Linked DNA regions of Rhinolophus ferrumequinum. The main gene of each other region encodes a partner of the protein of the gene in region 2 in a complex. Links are inferred from orthologs where the notes say so. Each region holds a gene or a part of one and is shown on either strand. Other genes may lie near its edges.

The links. Proteins that work in one complex are often made in the same cells at the same time.
Region 1: the proteins of ATP2A1 (region 2) and SLN are in contact, whole or in part, in a crystal structure (PDB 3W5A), measured with the Oryctolagus cuniculus proteins. The link is inferred for Rhinolophus ferrumequinum from reciprocal best matches to the Homo sapiens genes ATP2A1 and SLN. Residues at the interface, in XP_069919846.1 of Oryctolagus cuniculus: Phe88, Val89, Leu96, Ala100, Ile103, Val104, Trp107, Arg110, Asn111, Asn114, Arg324, Lys328, Trp794, Leu797, Gly801, Leu802, Thr805, Ala806, Phe809, Trp932, Ser936, Leu939, Leu943, Leu946, Ile947, Val950, Pro952, Leu953, Ile956; in NP_001075856.1 of Oryctolagus cuniculus: Met1, Glu2, Arg3, Ser4, Thr5, Arg6, Glu7, Leu8, Leu10, Asn11, Phe12, Val14, Val15, Thr18, Val19, Leu21, Ile22, Trp23, Leu25, Val26, Tyr29.

The regions. Positions count from the first base shown.
Region 1 is NC_046294.1:76,577,143-76,587,692, reverse strand, and holds SLN (sarcolipin), read left to right. Parts: upstream 1-5,945; 5' UTR 5,946-6,039; intron 6,040-9,590; 5' UTR 9,591-9,664; coding exon 9,665-9,760; 3' UTR 9,761-10,208; downstream 10,209-10,550. UniProt on the Homo sapiens protein: Reversibly inhibits the activity of ATP2A1/SERCA1 and ATP2A2/SERCA2 in sarcoplasmic reticulum by decreasing the apparent affinity of the ATPase for Ca(2+). Also inhibits the activity of ATP2A3/SERCA3.
Region 2 is NW_022680357.1:1,254,157-1,264,791, reverse strand, and holds the start of ATP2A1 (sarcoplasmic/endoplasmic reticulum calcium ATPase 1), read right to left. Parts: upstream 4,882-10,635; 5' UTR 4,675-4,881; coding exon 4,557-4,674; intron 4,227-4,556; coding exon 4,209-4,226; intron 3,818-4,208; coding exon 3,735-3,817; intron 2,343-3,734; coding exon 2,238-2,342; intron 1,569-2,237; coding exon 1,430-1,568; intron 1-1,429. Other genes in the region: SH2B1 (SH2B adapter protein 1), read right to left, coding at 9,682-10,037. UniProt on the Homo sapiens protein: Key regulator of striated muscle performance by acting as the major Ca(2+) ATPase responsible for the reuptake of cytosolic Ca(2+) into the sarcoplasmic reticulum.

The sequences.
Region 1 (10,550 bases), on a different chromosome or scaffold from region 2:
ATAGGAAATAAAATGCCAAGTGCAGAGAAGCCAATTTCTACTCTGGGCCCACTGGAAAGATAAGTGGTAGAAAGCATGATATAATGCACTATCTATGCAAGGACACTGGTGAGGGAAGGGCCTCAGCTTGAGCCAAGCTGCGTCTAGTGCTGCGTTTCGAGATGTGTCAGCACTTGTCTTGTGTACTGATGGAAGAGGCCAGATAGAAGTTGATTTGCTCTGGGAACTTAGGCACCTCCTAAGAGGTAATTCATCCTAAGAGAAGGAAAAGTTTGGTGTAGTATCAAATCTTAGCGGTGGAGGGAAGTGAGTTTGATATAACACGATGCCTGTTACTTCTGTGTGTTCCCTGGCTGAACTTGCCCATGAACTCATGTCTGGGAAGATGCTGGAGTGGTAGCAAGGAATTACTTCTTTGGTACTCCTCAACAGGGTGTAACGCACAGAAAGAGGCATACTTCCTCACTCCCACTCCTCATTTCGCTCCAGAAGTAAGTGTAACTTTGGTACTTCCAGTGGTCAAAAGCTGTGGTACCCAGCAGGGGAGGCTGCAGAGGAAGGGTGTCTGGCACCAGACAAGGCATGTCATGGTGACGACTGGGAGACTCAATCAATTGTCCATAGAGGAAGTGGCAGTGATGCCTTGTGCCCGGTACTCAGTAGGAGTGGTTGCCATGTAAGTGCCTGGTGAGGGCTGTCACATCTAGCAAAAGAGGGATAAAATAGATGAGGAAGAAGATGTCAGCTTGTTGGATTTGTGTTAGCACAAAAGGTATACCCCGTAAAGACATAGATGTAATTGGCCTGAGGTCTGGGGGCCCCCTTTGCTCTTCCACACTGGCAATTAAGGGCAAGAACCCGCAGAATGCAAGCTAAAGAGAATAGGCCTGAACCACCCCTCCCAGATAAGCTTCCCAAATTCATGGAATACTAGCCCCTGGCAACTCCACATTCACTTACTGTAAAAGTGTAAAAGGTTAGGTTACTCCCCAGGCTGTAGAAGGAGTGTCCAGTTGCTCTCAGAGGTAGCACATCCCTCATCCAAAAGGAAACCTAGCCTGTAGCTTTCATCCAGCTAAGCTTCTTTCACATTGCAGCACCTAGGCACTTCCGTTTTCTCATTACCTTCACAGAGAGCAGAGATAGATTTTCATGATTCTTTATGACTCTGTTCTCTCTACTTTAATAGCCAAAGGCTACAGCCAAATGAACTTGTTCACAGAGAACAGCAAGCAATTTTATCTGATTCTTCTTATTCTTGCTGAAACTGCAGTTGTGTTATTCTGACTGACAGATTCTCAAAGGAAATTCAGTCAAAATATCCTTGATCAAATTCACTAAGGAACAGAATGTTTCAAGTGGGCGTGTCTGGCCAGAATCACTCTTAACAGCTCAGTAACAGCACGTTAAGATTGCTGCATTCTTATTTCCCATCAGAGAAATAAAGCCAATCTGAAATCTGGGAGTGTTTTGAGGGCAGATGGTATTAGCCTAGTAGTAAACACAGTTTTGGCTGCTTTCCCTCTGCCCCCCTCTCACAGTAGCTATGTTCAATGTGCTGACAGAAAGCTGTTTATTTGCAGAATCTTATTATAGAGCAGAAATACACTTGTTCCAGAGAAGAGGAATTTAATTGGTTTCAAGTCAGATGAAGTTAACAGGTGTCGCCTCACAAATCCAGGACTAAAATGGCCTATTATAAACAGGACTAACACAAAATTTTCTGGCTCTAGCTCCAGCTATTAGGCAAGACTGCGAACCCCTGTAATTCTCCTCCCGATTTTTTCCAGAGACTTCAGGGGGTGGTTGACATGTGCTCACGCACTAGTATGGTTGGCTACCATGGAGTGCCTCCCACTTTCTTGCTCTTTAGCTCAAGTTCCTCTCTTCTGCTATTTGCTACTAATGCCTGCACAGTTTAGTATAAACTGCAAATACATCTTGGTCAGCACTGCTGCTTCAGCTCGGCTCTGTAATACTTCAGTGGAAGAACATTACGTTGCTGGCTCCGTGGATGTGCTGGGGTCTGTGAAATGGCAAGGGTAGAGGGAGAATCTCTCTCTCGGTCAGTGTTACACCCTTAGGTTGTTAAAAGAGTTATGGAGTAGTTTTTTGTTTGTTTGTTTGTTTGTTTGTTTAACCATAGCTCTCTCTACTCCTAGGACCCAGACTCCAAGCTGTAGAGAAATAAGAGGGCAGTTTGTGGGTATGATGGCCATGGGAATGTGCCTCTCAGACCTGACTGCTCCATAATAGAGGTGGACCCCAGCTGCTGTACTCAGATCATTATCATGTTTGCACAGAGGCCACATTTCCCAGTGTTTTTCCCAGTCAATGATTGAGTGTGGGAGGAACAGGAAGGTCGAGTCATTCCTGGGAGACACCGGGCACCTCTGACAGATGACTTTGACTTGAGGTTTCCTAACAGACTTGTCAAACTTTCCTGAGAGCTGAGTTGCAGCCTAGGATGCTGCTACCCAATCGTCCTTTTCCCTGTCTTTTTCTTGCTGTTTGATGATTCTATGTTTCCTCCCTCCTTCCATATTTTTTTCTCACAGGCATTCCCCCAAATACATTTTCCTTTTGCACATTTAGTCCCATCTTGCTTCTCACAGGACCTGGACTAAAACTGAATTTGAGTTACTGCAATAAAATGACCATCTATTCTCCCTGTTGCTAAACTACAGTATTGTCTTGATCACTTCCCTTCAGAGCTTTATTGCCCAGGTGGCTTTTAGGCCCTTTTATTAGTAGACTTGATATTGATGTCAACTTCCCTCACTCATCTTTGCCAGGCATGCTTAGATATGTCTGGATCTCAGCAGGAGATGTGATGGAGGCTCAAGCTGAGCCTCTTGCTATACATTCTAGAGCATCTTTTATGACTCTTCTCTGGCTCAGTGTGCAGCTAGAGAAACAAAAGAAATACAAGAGACCCTTCCTGCCTTTGAAATTAAAATGCAGGTAGTGAGACAAAATCACGTATGTGCCACAAGTGATTAAGAATATAGATAATAATGATTAATTTTTCAAGGACATGGAGAAAACTTCAAGAAATAGGACTTCCTCTTTCTCTGAGCTTGTACTCATGTATTTAGGATAATGAAAGAGAGTAGCAGGAAACTGTTTCTTGCATTCTGAGCAGCTGCATGTGGGGCTGTGAAGGTGAGAAAGGTACCATGATCATCGCACTCATTACTGTGATGTGCTAAGAGCTTATCGCCGCTCACGAAGGCCTTGCTGAAAGCTCCCACTGTGGAACAGACTTGCAGGATTCATGGACTGACATGAGATCTTCACTTTTCGCTTCCCAAAGTAAAAAGGTGGATGGAAATGGGGAGTAAATGGAAAAAGCTAGTTTAGCTCTTAATGAGGCACAAGACCTCAGCATTGATTCTCAAAAGGTATATAATGTTTTACACCTAAGAACCTAAGAATGTATATGGTGGTGATGGGAGAGGAGGAGATAAATATTAATTAAATCCTCAATGCCAATGTCAATGTGATGTCGTTTTCTTGACATTTTTGGCTCTTGGCTAAATTCTAGATTAATAGGCACAGAAATAATGTCAAAGATTATTTAGCATGTCTTCCTGCTGATGGGCAAGGCAGCACCTTGAAAGAAAGTTGATATGTAATGAATGCTGTTAAGACATGGGAATTGCTCACAGAAGGGAAAGTATCAGTACAATTAAATAAGGTTGACTGAAAGGGATGAATTTGCTTCGGCACAATAAGATTTGAAATCTTATTCTCAGTTTCTTAAATGAGAGACAATAACGTGTTTTTGTTTTTTTTTTCCTCTTTTTAATGGACTGGCGGATCCTCAGGGTTAAACTCTCTCCCTTCAGCCTTTGAACAGTTATCAGGTGGCTTTGGGTGGATTGCATATTTTTCTGGAGAGGTTAGGTCAAATTAATGACAAGCTAAATTCCCAGTGTAATCCCACTCTCTCATGACATCCCATGATAAACCATGAATATGCAGAAGCTTCTGAAGTCTCTATCTGGGAATTTGTCAGTGTACTGGACACAAGAGTTCCTGGTATAATGTTGGATAAACTTAAATGGAACAACCAAATAGACAAATTGAACTGACTCATGAATAAGCAGTAGGATTTTTCCTCCAAGTTACATTGAAATTGACCAATTCAACTAAATTGACAAATTGGTAAGCTATTTTGTGATATGTTAATATTTCTCCATTGTAGTTAATGTGTTAACTATTGTTAAGAGCTAATTCTTATTTTCACACGTACAAAATAAACACTTGTCCCATAAACCCAATACCAACCATGGTATATAGTATGAATAATTTGATTCTACGTGATTTAAAAAAAACAAAAACACTTTTTCAAGTATCAGATGCCGTTACCAAAAATATTTTGGGATTTGAAATTGTTATCGATGCAGCCTCAAACATGAATAAAAAGTAATATAAAGGGTCTTTTCCCTTTTAGGTGGTGGGATTAGCGGTAACTTAAATTTTCTTTATACTTTTATGTTTTCAAATTTTTTACAATAAATATATCTTTTTAATTGGACAAAAAGTAATTTCGAGTGGTTAAAAAGGGGACAGGTGTGGTTTGGTTACTAGGAAAACATTCCTAGCATTTGAAATAATCTGGCAAGGGCTTGGAGGCAAAAGACAGAAATCTGACTACATTCAAGGAGTTTGCCAGATGGCACCAAATAACTGCAAGTGTTTGATTGGGCTATAATTATTAGGTACTATTTGTCACTTCAGCAAGTTATCTTTTTACAAGGCATGTGACGACAGGATGTTGTTTTAAGATTACCCATCATTGGGCTTATGTTGAAATGAAGAAATAGAATGGAAAGTCTTTCTTTCAGTACTGTCTCTGGAGTATCAGGAAGGGTGGGGAAAGATTTGACAATGAACACAACTATATAGAGAATTTTATTTGTTTATGCTTTGTGGGAATGCATTATTTTGATTGACCCTAACTGAGAATTCAGAGGGGAGATTTGCTCTATTATCTGCAAAGAAAGAATTTGCTGAGTAAACACAATTTGGGGAATCATGTTTAAATTGCTTAGTTGATGTGTTTTCAAGTCTAGTTAAACACTTCACAGGTTCCTTTTACCAGCAGACATCTGAATTTTTTATTACAAACTCATCTTAAGAGTCTAGTTTTAGTCAGTGTTTACATTTGAAAGTTATTCAATTAGATTTCTTTCAGATATATAGCCGGTAACTCATGTTTTTCACTAGCTTTGACAGTTCTCCTTTTACCTCCAATCTATCCAAATGACTTTGAGTTTTGCTGTATGAGCTTACTGCTGTATTAGTTTACTGACAGAGATATATAAACCGTGGCTTCCACAGCTGTTTTAGATGAAACGGTATATTAATGTGTAATCTTGCAACATACAGCTTAGCTGGAAAGGTATGCAGAGCAGGTGACTGAGGAGATAACTTTCACTGCTTGGACTAAAGACAGTTTGGAAGGAGCTGAAGAAGACTGTTGAATTCTGGTGTGTGCGTGCAGTTTGGGATGTGTGTGCACGAGGTGCAGAACTCTTCACATTTCAAAGAGCTAAAGGGTAGTAAAATGAAGTCGTATTTTACACCCTCACATGCTGAGTAAGGAGAGCAGCCAAATGCCACATTGATTTTTAAATATTTGGCTACCACTCTTGGTTTATGATCTTTTAAACACGTGTTAGAGGTATTCATGAAGATGTAAAAGATTAAAACTTGCATTGACTATAACAAAAATCAATTGGAAAGAAAAGATTTTTAAGTACCTGCGGTGTTAACACAAATTTGCAGCCAAAAGAACAGAGTCTTAGTCAATATATTTCCATGTCCCCCTAAACACAAATAGCCTCAAACCTTTGGAGGTTGTTCCTTTGAGATGTTTCATTAGTGACATCACAGTGATTGCCACCTCCCTGGGACTACTTTAGGCCCTGCCAGAGCCCAGGAGTTCACACAGCCCAGAAGACCAGCCAGAGGTGGAGCCAGAATTGGAGCCCACGTTGGAGAAAGACAGGAGAAACCTACAACAGCCAGGTGTGTTCTTGACCCTCTTTACGGAACAGCAGGACTTTCATGCTTAGCATGGAGTGTGTGTGTATGTGTGTGCACAAGTTACAAATGAGAAAGGCAGTGGAATATTTACATTTCATAATGAAATAGGCTATGCTTGTTGTACACAGTGTTTCTTCAGATATAAAGTGAATAATATCGATTCTTGTCCTTTTTTTCACCTCATGGTATGTATGCATTTTCTCCCTTTCTCTTAAAAAACATTTTTTTTTTTATCATGGAGGAAAGTCTGTCTTCCATCTTCTGAAAAATCTCTGTTCAACGAAAGTCTGAATAATTTATTCAGAGCTTTTTTGGTTTTTATTTCATCCATATGGTAATCGCTTTGGATCATATGGTGTGATTTTGACTCCAGGAAAGATTTTAAATGAAGCCAAAATTGTTTTTGTGGGTTAACAGCAAAAAAATGAAGGTTGCTGATCTGAATTTCTGCCTACCTTTGGTATAAATGTGTGTGAAAGTCAAGTCAAGCCCACCTTCTACAGTTAGAGTATGTGTTGATTGAGTTGGATTCATTAGAAATTCTCACCTTAACTCTTTGTGTTTTATTCATTAAAAAATATATAAAACAACCAATATTTAACTTCACCATCAAAGTGCAAGAAATAGTAAGAGGTAAACCACAGGAAATAAAGAAGTGTGATGGGTAGTCTTTCAATTCAGAGACTACTGGAAAGAACATGAAGAATGCATAAAACATACAGTTTGACAATAATTATAAGGCAACACCTATATAACTATCACCCAGGTCAAGAAACAGATCATTGCCAGCCCCCCAGAAGTTCATTCCTGGTCACCTCTCCCTTTTGCCCCACCAGAGGCAATCACCATCTTGATTGTTGAGTAATCTTGCCCATGCTTCTCTTTATATATAATTTTACCATCTATGTCTGCATTCCCAAACAATATGATTAAGTTCTGTTTTTGGCTTTGTATAAATGCAATCATATTCTATGTTTCTTTTGTAAATTCTTTTGCCCAACATTTATATTTATGAGCTCCACCCATCTTGAGTACTGTTATAGTTCGTATACTTTCTTAGCTCTATAGCATTCAAGTGTATGAACATACCACAATTTATCATCTATTCTACTATTGATAAACATTTGAGTTGTTTCCAGCTTTAAGGTATTGAGACAATGTTGCTGTGACCATTCTTGCATGAACATCCTCGTACATATGTGCTTGAGTTTCTAAAGACCACGTAATGATTCATTCTTGTAATCACTCGTATGGAGTAATCACAATTCTGTTATAGAAACCAGTACCAGCCTGCCAGTTCTAGCTCTGCCTCTAAATCGCTGTGTGTCATTATACAAACAATTTAACCTCTTTGTAAAAGCCACTTTCTTAGCTGTAATTTTGGGAGAGATAAAAATCACAATAATACTTGCCTGATGTGTGAAGGTCACGGAGTTGTTGTGAAGGTCACATGACCAGAATTGTGGACAGCTTTCAATAACATCTTCCCCAGCATGTTTCTGTTGGGCCACTCTCATGATTTCCTTTATTTAGGAGCTTAATCTAACGAACGCAGATTTGGTGGGACCATTATTTTGCCCTCCCTGAACTGGGTTGTTTCGATCATTATAAAGAGTGTCATGTTTTTTGCATATCTCAGTATTTCTTTAGAACTTATCCAAATGAGTGGGCATTTGCATGAGGATTTGATTTTTTTAATAAATTCATAAGGAAGAGTCTGCTTTTGATTCTCATTCTTTGGCCTCCAGGCTCCCTACCTAGATTCATCACCTTCCTGTTCTCCCCTGCTCTTGTGTACATTCTTACATATTCTCTCTAGTCATTTAGCCATTTATTTCCTTCTGTTTACTCTCTTCTTCAATTGGTTGTAAAGATTTTGGTTGGTGATTTACCTCATACTTCGTGTGGAGGGCCAAAAGATGGATAAGAATAAAAAGGAAAATAAAATATAAATCAATCATCATTGGCCATATTTTCAACCAGGATTGAACAACCTACTGGTTGACACCATCTGATCTGAATTTGTGTGTTACACTAACAATGAAATAATATGAAAAATGACTATTCATCTAGTTTATACAATTAACAGTTTGGTCCACTATTAATACAACAAGTATAGTTGTTACAATTAATAATTCAGTCAGGTTAGATGGTTGTCAGGCTAAAGGCTTGCTAACAACCCTTCCTGTCCTCTGAACTTCCACCCTTAGCAAATGAACAAAACACCCTTTCCTCTTGAACGTTTTTACTCTACAAGAGACTTTTAAGTATCTAAAATATTATCTTTAATCTTTAATTTCATTTAATTTACATACACAAAGTGTGCATTATGCCACATCACTGAAGGTAATAATTTGACTGACTGCATCGCATATGTTGTCCAAGTGTGATTTCCTAAGTGTACTGTCTGTACAAACTAGAAAGATATCATCCCTGCTCTTTGAAGTGTTTACAATCTGAGCACATCCTAGACCTGACTAAAAATAGCTGGCACAAGCCCTTGTTGAAATAGAAGTACCCATGAGGTTAACACTTGCTCTTTGGACTGAGTGTCTGTTATGTGAGGTACTTTCAGTTGACCCCCAATAGGCTCTGTGCCCAATGCAGTGCTTATAAAAGGCCAGGCAGATGTTCAAACTACTCCATGCTTTCACCGGGGCTAGAAGAAGACCTATTTTTCAGGCCTGAGACCTGAAAAATTATGGTATCCTACTTCTATATGTAACTGAAAGCAAGAATAGTACTAAACCATAACATTTGTTTTCTGTTTTGATGACCTTGCTTGCTGTGACTCTAAGTTAGCAAAGCAAGTACACACCTATTCACATACACAAACACAGAAATTGGAGAGAAAAAAATGTAATATTTTGTATTTTATCAAAAGCATCAATATAATCATTACAGGAAAAAAAGCAGGACTATGTTGGTCTTTTTGATATCAGGCAGAAAAGACAGTCTCTCTGTGTTAGTCAGGATTCTTCAGAGAAACAGAACCAATAGGGTGTGTGTGTGTGTGTGTGGGTGTGTGTGTGTGTGTGTGTGATGTAATTGGCTTGTGCAGTTGTGGAGGCCGGCAAATCTAAAATCTGCAGGTAGGCTGCAGACTGGAGACCCAGGGAGGAGTTGCAACTCTAGTCCAGAGGTATTCTGGAGGCTAGAAATCTGTGGTCAGGGTGTTGGCAGGTTGATTTTTTCTGAGGCCTCTCTGCTTGGCTTCCAGATATCTATCTCCTCCCTGTCTTCAATTGTTTTCCTCTGTACATATCTGTGTTCTAATCTCTTCTTGTAAGGACACCACTCAATTGAATCAGGGCCCATCTTAATGACCTCATTTTAACTTAATTACCTGTTGAAAAACCCTATCTCCAAATACAGTCATATTCTGAGATACTGGGGCTTAGGATTTCAACATATGAATTCTGGGGGCGACACAATTCAGCTCCTAACACTAACCTCTTCCGCAATGCTTCTATTTCCTTTGAGGAAGGAATGCTCATTAATCTCCTCGTTTTTACTTTGTTACATTCTGTTAGGAGGTGAGGACAAGCAGGAGGCTCTGGTGTGCCCTGAGAAGTCTGCCTCCGGTTCTCACTGAGCCACTGTGAGAATGGAACACTCCACCCGGGAGCTGTGTCTCAACTTCACCATTGTCCTGATTACGGTTCTCCTCATGTGGCTCCTTGTGAGGTCCTATCAGAGCTGAGACGGCATGTCACGCTCCTGGGATTGACTGCAACACTCCAGAGCTGCCTGCTGTATGCCCTGAGATCCCACTGCTGTCATGGGATGCCTTTCTCGGTACCTCAAGGCACTTCTGACCTGCACTCACAGTATCTGAGGTGCTTCCAGTGTTAGGATAAATTGTATGTTCTCTAAAGATGCTGCTCTCAAGGGCTGCCAAGTGTTTGCCAGTGAGTGATAGATTTATTCCCCAACTCTTAACGGCAAATGTGTTAGACAAGCCACAAGGTCAAAGTGAAACTGGATGCATGATGATGTAGAGCTATAACAAGCCCCTGAACCGTCTCACCACACAGCCCTTCAAACCACACTGCAACCAACCTCTAAATCATCCTGCCAGAAGAAAGAAATGTTAGAGGAAGTCTTTGTCAGCCCCTGTAGCTATCATGTGAATAAAGTTAAGTTAACCACAAAAATGACTTTTAGAACTTATTTTAGCTTCTATTTGTGATACTGCATTTGACCCTTGGCTGGGATTGAAGTGACAAATGTTACAGTATTTCTAGCATTTGAGCTAAGCCAAGTTGCGCCAACTGCTGAGGATTTGAAACCAAGTCAATTAAGAGTGTCACGTTTCAAATAATTCCATTGGTTCAGTGCTCCTCAAACTTTTCCTCTAAACTAGTCCCAAGGGCAGATGGAGAATAAATCCATTCCAGTAGGAGGTCTGGGATGTAGCCTGAAGAGTCCACTACAAGCACAAAATTTCTTTGAAGTCTTGTGTTTTCTCTTCAAAATTCACAAATATATAT
Region 2 (10,635 bases):
GAAGAAACCGGAGAAAATCAATGTCAACAAAAGGTGGAGCCAGAAGCAGGAGAGAGCAAGTGAGAGGGGAGTATGAGAAGGGAAGGTGCAGGAGGAGAGGGAGGAAGGCTGGGGCAGGGGGGCACAGGTGCACATGGAGAGGACACACCTGAAACCTGCTGCCCCGTGTGAGCACCTGAGGGAGGGCAGGAAGCTGGGGGAGTGAGTGGGTGGGGGGCAGGGAGGCAGGCAGGAGAGAAGGGGAGGCCTGCAGGGAACAGGGAGTCGGGGGACAGTGAAGCAACAGCCAGCAGAGAGCTGGGCCATCGGGGGGGAGGCCCAGGGAGAGGCCCGGAAGTCAGGGTCAGGACAGAAGCCGCCATGGGGGAGGCTGCAGGGCCGACGCCCCTCCAGACTTGAGACCTTTGAGGAGGCCGCATGCTTCCCGGGACCGCTGCCCAATCCTGCCTGGTACCCAGGCTGGTACTGGGGACAGGGTTCCATGGGTTTCCTTCCCCTGTTTCTAGGGTGCCTCCTCCTGTGCCAGAGGAAGCCGAGGGCGGAGGGAGGAGGGTGGCCGTGGAGCTGGGCGGGACACCCTGTCACCCAAGCCCAAGTGATATTTATAGACATTCATGGTGCTGACTCCAAACTGTCACCGTAGCAGGACAGCCCGGGGATGGGGCGCTGGGGTCTTCAGCCCGCCCTCCCTTCTTCTCCCCAAGGTTCCCATGGTAGCCACATAGGTGTCTAGAGGAGGGAAGCCGGCTGAGAAAGACATTCCCTTATGCCAGGGGCCCAGAGATATGGGGAGGCCTGTGCAGGGCAAATATAAAAACCGCTGAAGGGGGCAGAATCGCAGTAATCTTAGCCAGCCGGCCCCCACCCCTCCCTGGGCAGGCATTAAGTGTCCCTCCCTGCAGAGGCGGCCCTCCTGGAGCTCGCTTCCCAGGTCCCGTGCTCTCTGCTGGGGCCTGACTTTCCCTTACATGGTCGGGGGCTGGAGCCTTTGGCCCCCCTCCTCCTTCTCCCCTCACTCCTTCCCCTTTGAGAGGCCTCAAGGGCACTGAGAGGTCAAGATTTAAGGCTGACCAAGCTTGGGGGGGGAGGCCAGGCCTCAGGAGGGGGGTGGAGACGGGACCATTGGCAGGGCCTGGGTTCCACCTGTTGCTTGCAAGTGCTGGGTGAGGGGAGGGGAAGTGGGGGTCTGCTTGCAGCTTCAGGGACAGGACTGGCTGTTCCTGCGGAGACTCTGACAGGGAGGGGGTGCTGTGGCCACAGTGCCCTGGGGTGACCTCCTGAGGAGTCTGGGAAGGAAGGAGAAGCAAAGACTCCTCCAGCCTGGCAACCCCCTGGACGCCAGAAGCCCAGCCCCCACCCCCAGCAGACACATCGTCCTGGCCTGGAACCCGAGGCCTCCCGTCCTGGACCGCTCATGCCCACCACTCACCAGCCACCTCCACTATGTCCCCAGGAACGATGTCCCGGGCCTTGATCCTTTGCACTGACTTTCGGTCCGCCCGGTAGACTTTCCCCATCTCGGGTTCATATTCCTTCAGGGCCTCGATGGCGTTCTCTGCATTACGCTCCTGGCGGGACAGGGTGGAGGTCATCAGAGGGAGGGAGGTTGAGGAAGGGCAGGAGATAGGCAGGGGAGGGTGGGGCAGGCGGTGTAGGGATGGCAGAGCAGGGGCCAGAGTCCTGGGGCCAACAGGGACACCAGCAAGGAAGAGGGAGGTTACGCAGGGGAGTAGACAACCCCCCCACCCAGGAGAGTCGGGGTGTGTATGTGTTCAAGAACCTGTTGCTTACGGCCAAAAACGGTTTAGGGGGGTTGGGAGAGAAGAAAAGAGAAAGAAAATCAGAAAGCAGGGGACAGGAAAAGTAGAGGGTGGTGAGGTAATGGAAAGAAGAAACTCAAACTAGCATTTATTGAGCACCTACTATACACCAGGCACCTTCACACTCATCATCTTTTTATATTTCACCACAACTCTGAGGGACAGGATTATTAGCCCCATTTTATGGATGAGGAAACCGAGCCTCAGACAGATGAAGGAACTTGCCCAGAGTTCTACAGCCAGCAAGTGACAGTGGGAACACCAGCTCCCACCTGTTGCCCACACTCCGTCCCATTTACAAACTGAGCAATAGGACCAGAGAACAAGGCAAGCCCAAGGGAAGTGATGGGGGGTGGGGGGAGGGGGCCTCATGTTCAGTGTCCGGACATGAAGGAACCAAGAGGGGTGGAAGCTAACCTGCCAAACCCCCACGATGGCATTGGCAATGAGAATCAAGAGGATGACAAAGGGTTCAACAAACGCAGTGACGGTCTCCTCACCTTCCTCAAACCAGGCCAGCACCTGGGAAGCAGGAGAAGGGAGAATCACAGGTGAGAGCGGCCCTTAAACAGGTAAAGAAGGCCAATGGAGGTGAGAACTCGTGCAGGAGCAAAGAAAGGGCCAGGCCTCACCGGGCGCGCAGCCGCGCGTCGGTCTGCCGGTCTAACACTCCAGGATGGGCAGCACCGCCAGGCGGGCACAGACCTGCACCCCTCAGGGATTACCGAGGAATGCTTTCAGGTTTCCCTGACAGAGCTGCACGCTTGTAAACAAAGCTCAGGGGGCACCCGGGCCAACTACCCACACAGCCACATCCATCCCAGGGGAGCCACAACTCCATAGGAAAAAACCTGTGGTCCGCGCAGGCAGGCGGGCGGCTGGCCCACCCACAGCCCTCCCCCCACAGCCCGAGGCAGGGAAGCTCCGATTTCAGGAGGGAGCAGGAGGGGGGCGGGATAGTGTTACGGGGCCTCCTGTACACACCCCACCCCACCCCAGCTGTTGCAAAGGCAACAGCCACAGGCAAATGTCAAGGAGCAAATCTGAGAAGGGAGAAGTGAGGCCCTGCCAGCTGGTGCTCAGGGGCCCACAGGCCTACATGAAGGAGACCAGGGGACAGGGACACTGTTTTGCCTCCGGAGGCTTGTTTTCCAGCAGGAGTAAGATGTTAAGGAAGAAACTCCACATGGCAGGATCGACTGATTGCTGGCACGGTGGGCGCCCAAGGGAGCCCCAGGCAAGGACACGTGGCAGGACCCTGAGGAGCGGGCGGGGGCAGCGCTGAGGCTGGAGGGGCCCAGGGAGGGCGGGGAAGGGGAGAGTCAGGCCAGTCTGGGGAGGAAAGGGATCCCAGGATTTTCAGCCCTGTTGGGGGGCAGAGAAGCAAGGCCAGCGACAAGTGAGGGGTCTGCGCCTCCAGGAGCCTTTGGAGTCACCCTCGCACCAGCAGCTTTCCCGCCTCTAGGAGGGTCTTTGCCTCGACCAATCAGCGCCAGGAGGGCGGGGCAGCGGCGCCAGGAGGCTCGGGGATTGGTGGAGAGGCGCAGCCTGCACCTCGGGCACCCAGGGAGTAGTGGCGCCCCCGAGTGGCCGCAGCGACGGAGCTGGGGAGCCCTTCGCTCAAGGGGGTAACCCGAGCCTTCGGAGCCCTGGAAGCTTCGGGGGGTGGCTTAGCTTCAGTGTTTTGGCTGAGAACACCGTTAAAGCTTAAAATAAAACCTGCCTGCGGGGTGTGGGGAGGACAGAGGGCGCACATCAGCAACCCACCCCCCACCCCGGTCAGTTCTGGTCTGCAGGATAGGATGCCGAGGGCTTGGACGAGGGGGGCCTCGGATTTGGAGCCCTCCCCACCCTCGGCACCCTCTCCAGATCCCCGCACCCGCAGCCAGCCCCCAGATGTTCCACTACACTCACAAAGGAAATGCAGGCGGCCAGGAGAAGGATTCGCACCAGGAGGTCTTCAAACTGTTCTACCACCAACTCCCACAGGGATTTCCCTGGGGGGAGAGGCAAGGGGAGGGCGTCCCCGGGGTTAAGGTCTAGCGGATGGACAGCAGGGACTCCAGGTGCAAGCTGGGGGCCAGGGACTGAGGGCGCCCTGATTTCCAGCCCCGAGCAGGATGGTTGTGGGGCGATGGGCAGACCACTTGGTAGTGAGAGAGGGAGCTTGCCAGGACGCCACCAACGGGCTCCTCCAAGTGGCGGGCAGTTGTTCAAGGGCTGGATGCCCAAGGAGAAAGTGCCTGGAAACTTCTGCCCCCAGCCCGGCTCAAACCCTTGGGGAGGGATATTTGCCCCAGGAGTGAATAGGGAGAGGCAGGGAAAAGGGAGTGGAGCCCAGAGGGGAGGGGGGTCATTTATGACAGCTCAGGGATTTCGGTAACTTACCTTCCTCAGCAGGGAGCTCTACCCAGGGAAAAAGAAGAAAAGGACATGTTCATTTGGGGTTCTGTCTGATGCCCCCCCACACACACACCCAGGATTTTGTGGCTAAGGTAAGAGAATCAGGCCATCGAAAGGGCATCTGAGGTTCTCCAAGGTCATCCTATAAAACCTCCCAAAACTCTGGGTCTCAGGGACCCCGTTTTCTCCGTATTCTCTTCCCTATCCTCTTACGGCTGCAGTCGTTGGACCCAGCTCTTCCCTACGATACCCCAGAGGGGGAGACTGCGTGTGAGTATGCGTGTGCGCTGCGCGTGTGCGGGAGGGCATTACCAGCCTCCGAGCCACACTTACCATTGGGGCCATATTTCTCCAGATGCCGCTTAACTTGGTCCGGGGTAAGGCCTGTAGTCTCGCTCACCCCAAAATAGGCCAAACATTCTTCTGTGCTCTTGGAGTGTGCACCCTCCATTGTGCTCCCTTCCTGGGGGCCAGGGGGCCGTGTGTTTCTTCTAGGGGGGTTCTCACGTGTGGGGGGCCTTCCTCAGTGTGTCCACCTGCCTGTCTGTCGGGGCTTCTTCTTTTTTTCTCTCCTGCCCCCCCCCAGGTTTTTCTTCCTTTCACGAAGCTCTGACCCCCGTCCCACTTGTAGCAGCCGGCCACCCCCCAGCCCCCAGCTGGTCCCTTATGAGGGAGTAGGGGGGGCCAGGCTCCCCCCTCCCCCAGATCAGGGATTGGCTGGCTGAGACGCCAGCAGGAGGGGTCAGAAGAGAGAGATATTTCTGCTGACAGAGGGGGAACAGTGGGGCTGCAGCCTGAGATGTCACTCATGAGGGAAGCTAAGATGGCCCCAGCCCCAGGGAAGGGGGGCAGAGAGACTTCACTTTCTGTCTTCTGCTACGGACCCCTCCCCCAATTGCCTCAGCTTCCTCAGTTGCACTGAATTTCCGGTTCCAAACTCATCCCCCCAGTTCTCCCCATAAGCCCACTTCTCCTCTCAGGCCTTCCCCGGGCACGTCCCTCGCACCCCACCCCCCACCCCTGCGTCCCATCTCGTCCACTCTGAACCTGCCAGCCTCCTTCTTCACCTAGTTTGTTGAAAGGGCAGCAGAGCTATTCCAACCTTCGGGGGATGGAAGAGGGGGAGAACATCCTTTGGGGGCCAAAGGAAGTGGCTCTGGAGGGATGAGGGGAAGAGGGAAGGGAGGGGGTCAAGGGGACAGGGTAAAGATGGTAACCCTACCCTAGGGAGGGGTTGCGGCAGCCATCAACAGGGGATTTAGTGTCCAGGCCCGACGAGCAAAGCCAGGACTGCCTGTCTCTCCCCTAAATTCCCCCCCCCACATCGCTCTAACTCAGCCTCTGGGAACATAACCTCCAGCCCCCCCTATCTCGAACAGTGAATCCCACCCCCCGCAAGAAAATGGGATACCCAGGCAGCAAGGTAACCCAAGAGGCTACAGAATGTGCTGATGGCAGAGGGGGAGGGATAAACATTTCAGGATGGGGGTGGGGGTCACCCCAAGTCATGGAAGAAGGGTCGCCTCCGTCCCATACTGTGCTCTCTGTAACCTAAGGGGTTTCCCTGGCAGACCCCACATGGATGACGCTCTGCACTCCACCTGGCCCTGAAGTATCTGTGCTCAAGGGGAGTGAGGACCAGAGCTGTATGTCCAGGCCCTGGGCACACCCCGTGGGAAGCAGCAGGAGGGAAGGGGCATCCAGGAAAGGGTGCTGGGGAAGCTGGATAAAGCAGAGGCTCCAGGCCAAAGGCGTGGGGAGAGGGCAGACTGATGGGGACATGTCTGGGGGAAATAAGGACAGACCAGAGCTGGGGGAGCAGAGAGAGAGCTGCCAGGGTCAGAAGGAAGTCTGAGGAGCAGTGGGGAAAAGGGACAGCAGGGAGCTGGCATGTGGCAGCCAGGTGGGTGGGGGCCCAGGGCTGGGTGCAAAGCCACAAGTTGTCACTGAGCGGCTGGCCTTGGTGTCAGCTTCCTCGGAGAAGCAGCTGCTCCGAGCCCCCCACCCCCACCCCTGCTCTGGGATGGGGGCATCTTTTGGTTATTACCAGGGCAGCTGCTGGAGGAGCAGGAGCAGAGGGTAGCCTGGGGTGTGGGTGGGGGAGGGAAGGATGGCAGAGAGAGGAGAGACGTTCAGTGGAGCAGTGGTGAAAGGTCAGTGAGGGGAAAAGCAGCCTCGCCACCCTGACCTCAAGTCCTTCCTCAGTTTCCTGAAATGGTGAGGATTACAGGCCACTGACTGACTGGGTCTCAAGGCTGCTTCCCTCGGCCGCCCAGCTGCTACGCAGACAGTGGCACAGGGGGCAGCGGGCAAAGGCAAGGGAAACCCGACTTCTGAGGCTAGCATGGGGGGAGGGCATTTAAGGATTTGGCCCCCCCACTCATCCCTCTCTCCTCCTGGATTTCGGGGTGAGCTGAGGACACAGACAGGGTACTCCCTCCCTCCTCCTCAGGGTTCCAACAAAACCTGCGCTGAAGCAGAGTCCTGCTGTGACCTGCCGTGGGGGCTCAGACAACGGCGTGAGTCTCCATCCACCTGGCCAGGCACCTCCACCTGGCCAGCACCCCCCAGCTCTTAGGCCCCAGTCGGGCTCCGCATCTGCCAAGCCTTTTGGCCGGCTGGCTTCTCCCTGACAGCACCTGGAGGAGTGACGGGAGCAGGAATGCCCAAACATGGAGAAGGGGGAGAAGGCTGGACCGGTCACAGGTTCAAGGGAGCGGAGCGCATGGAGCTGCGGAAAGGAGGCCGGCGTTGCAGGACGCTGCTGGCAACAGGGACCTTAAGGTTAGTCCTTTCTACCTCCATCAACTTCCCAGAGCGGGGACCTGACGCCAAAGGGGGAAAGCCAAGAGCCGCGGAAGGATCACCCTCAGGGAGGCTGGGGGTGTGAACTGCCCCGGAGGGGGCCGAGCAGGGAGGCCCTTGCTCGTGGATCCCCGCCACGCCGCGCCGCGCCACGCCACGCCACGGGGGTCTCCAGGCCCAGAGTTGGAAGGTGTTTTTCCCCTCCTATCTGAAGGCTGAAGCTGCGAGTAGGTCTGTGAGAGCCACGGACTGAGCCCAGCCAATCCCTGACCAGTGCTGAACTTCAGCTGAACCACCACAGGCTGGGAGAGAAGCAGTCTCTTAGGCTCCTCCGGCCAAGACATGCAAATCTTGGGGTGTGGGGGGCCCTTGAACCCCTCCCCCACCCATCTTCAGAAGGCGAGTCCCAGAGGGCCGGCGGGGTTTAGGGGAAGAGGGAGCCCACACACAAGTTGCCGCTAGATTAGGAGAATCAGGCCCTGCTTACGCTCGGGCACGCAGCCTTCAGGGGCCATCTCGTTTTGAGACTATCGCACCCAGCGCCCCAAAGCATCTCCACCTTTGCAAAGCCAATTCTATCCCCCCCCCCCCCCCCCCCCCCGTCTCCTGAGGCCAAGGTTTGGGGGAGTCCCAGGGATTAGATAAAACGGGGAGAGCCAGCAGGCTTCCCCAGGCGAGCCCACAGCCTGAGTGGCCTGTGAGCCCAGCTGTCTCCTGTCCATCTCCCCACAGGACACGAGGCCCAGAATAGCAAGGTCACAGGCATGGGTAGGGCCCAGAGGTGGGGGCAGAGGCTGGGGGGGGGGCGTGGAAGTGGAGGCTCCACGCTGACTGGGAGGGAAATGGAGGCAGAATGGTAAGAGGCAGAGGTAGGTGGACAGAGGTGGGGAGGGGAGGGGGCCACGTAAAGCAGGTGGGAGTCTGGGGAACCTGGCCCCTCCTTGTGGGCGCCCATTACCCGCAGAGCCGAGAAGCCCAGGGGCGCCCTCCACTGGAGGAGGGCAGAGCCGCAATTCAGAGAGCAGGGCCTGGGTTAAACGGAGGGGCTGGGGGGAAACGGAGGAGCAGCAGACGTTGCAACCGCAAATACCCACAGGCCAGGCACGTCATGAGTGACAAGGTCGGGCAGGGATGAGGCAGATGCAGCACGAGGCTGCCTTCTGATTTTCAAGAGAAGCCAATCATCTGAACTTTTATGTGAAATTCCATTAGCCAGGCCATCTAGGAGGGCGGACAATTCAGATCGCAAACTCATCCTAGAAAAAGTGCTACGTACCTCATTGCTGAATATCACTATGGTCACCTTCGAAGGACTCCCCTTGGGAAGCTGTGCACCGACGCCAGCGCCTAGTCCACCCTTCAAAGCCGTTTTTGAACTCTTTTTCTGGAATGGCCATCAGAGCTGTCGTCGTATTACCCTTGATGTCCTGAATGTCATCAAAATGTCGTTTCAATGTTTCCTTTATCTCCGGGTAAAGACAGAAGTCATTGGGGGCCAGATCAGGTGAGTAGGGAGGGTGTTCCAATACAGTTATTTGTTTCCTGGCTAAAAACTCCCTCACAGACAGTACCGTGTGAGCTGGTGCATTGTCGTGATGCAAGAGCCATGAATTGTTGGCGAAAAACTCAGGTCCTCTAACTTTGTCACACAGCCTTTTCAGCACTTCCAAATAGTAAACGTGGTTCACTGTTTGTCCAGCTGGTACAAATTCATAATGAACAATCCCTCTGATATCAAAACAAGGTCAGCAACGTCGTTGCCCCAAGTTCAGGAACTTAACCTTCAGACCTTGTGAGTCACGAGCTCCATCCCAGATGAAACTTCCCACTCTCCAGATGAAGATACTGAGGCTGCAGTGGTTACACCTTGCCTCCGGCTCCCCAGAGTGGCTCTGAGGAGGGTGGCCAGCCTGCCCTTGGGCCCCTCTGCCGCCAGACTCTGTGGCTGCCACATTCAATGTCTCCCCACACAGCCCCGTGCCCCCAGGCCCACCCCCATGACCTCTCTCTGCCTGTTTTCTCCCTGGGGTAGGAAGCCTTAACTGAAGAACTCAGAGCAGGAGGGGTCCTGGGAGATTGAGTCCCGTTACGAGAACGTGGCTGGAGACCCCAGACAGCGCTGGGTGGCTCTGCTCTTACCCACAGGACAGCCCACAGAGGAGCCGTGGGCTGAAAGCCCAGGACCGGGGCCCCTGCTGACCCCCCTGGCCCGGCCCCCACTGCAAACACAGGCCACAGCCACCAGGATGGAACTGAGATAAACCCTTTTATTTAGTTAAGCTTCTCCATTTTGTTTAAAACAACAACAACAACCATCTTAATTTTAACTGACAGCCCTTCCCCTCACCCGTCCTTGGGCTGGGGGTGTGTAATGGGGACATGGCCACCAGGGGCGGGGCTGAGCAGAAGAGCCCCTCAGGGAGGTAATGGAGCCCCACCCCCCACCAAGGGGACGGGGCACCTGTAGTGTACGAACCAGGAGCTAACAGGGCTCTCAAGCCTCTTCTTGTAACAACATACATGCCCTCGGCCACCAAGGGTCAGGAAGCATGGGGGGTGCGGGTTCCGACCAGTCCTCTCTGCCCCCGCCCAGCCCGTCTCAGGAAGGAGCGCCAGGAGCGAGACGAGTGGAGAAAGGGTTGGGTGGGGTGTCTCACACAAAGGAGTACTGGTTATTGATGGCTCTGGGATGGCCCCCTTCTTCTCCATCGCCTCCTAGTGGTAACTGCTGGAGCTGCACCATCGGGGTGGCCCCCGGGGCCCCACCAGATCCAGCACCTCCTTGGACCTCCGGGCCCAGAGCTACGGCCTCTTCCAATACAACCACGGGGACCAGCTCTTCCTGGCCCCCTCCGCTGCCCGCTTTCTCTTTCTCTTGCCTCTCTTTGGCTGCTGCGGCTGCTGCTGCCGCCACTTCTGGCGTCGACGCCTCTTCTGCCCCAGGATGTGGGGGATCTGTCCATGAAGGGGGTTCAGGGGGCTGGGGTGGGTGGTGGGAGGTGTTCGGTTCTGGACAGGAATGGTGAGAAGACAGACTGATTGTGGGGGGAAGCAAGCTCTGGCAGCAGCCCACCGACACCCCCAGAGCCACGTGCTAGCTCCCCCCACCCATGGAAGATGGGTCATGGGCGGCGGTGAGAGGAGGACCACACTTACACACAGTCACTCGCTCCGAAGGGCATGAGGGTGGAGGAGGCATCGGGGTAGCAGCGACCGCCCTCGCACACCCCTGCATGGCTCCCGGCCTGCTCTCGGCCTGGGGGTGGGCAACGTGGGGACAGATGGGACGTCGGGGTGGGGCAAAGGGAGAGATCAGACAGGGACATCAGACATGGAGGGGAGGGCGGGGACCTGACTGAGCGCCCCGAGAAGGGCAGGCCCACGGGGGGGGGGGGGTTGAGGAAGGGCGGCGTCGGGGAGAATGGGTCTGGGAGACAGACAGATGGCACGGCGGAGTCGGATGAAATGGGAATGCGCCCCCCCCCCCCGCCCCCGCAGGCTCTCCCCGGCTCCGGCCGGCCCGCCGCCTGCCCCTCTGCGGCCCCAACACCAGGCGGCGCCTCCTCTCCCTGCGCCCCCTAACCACGCCTCTCCTCCTCGCGCCCCC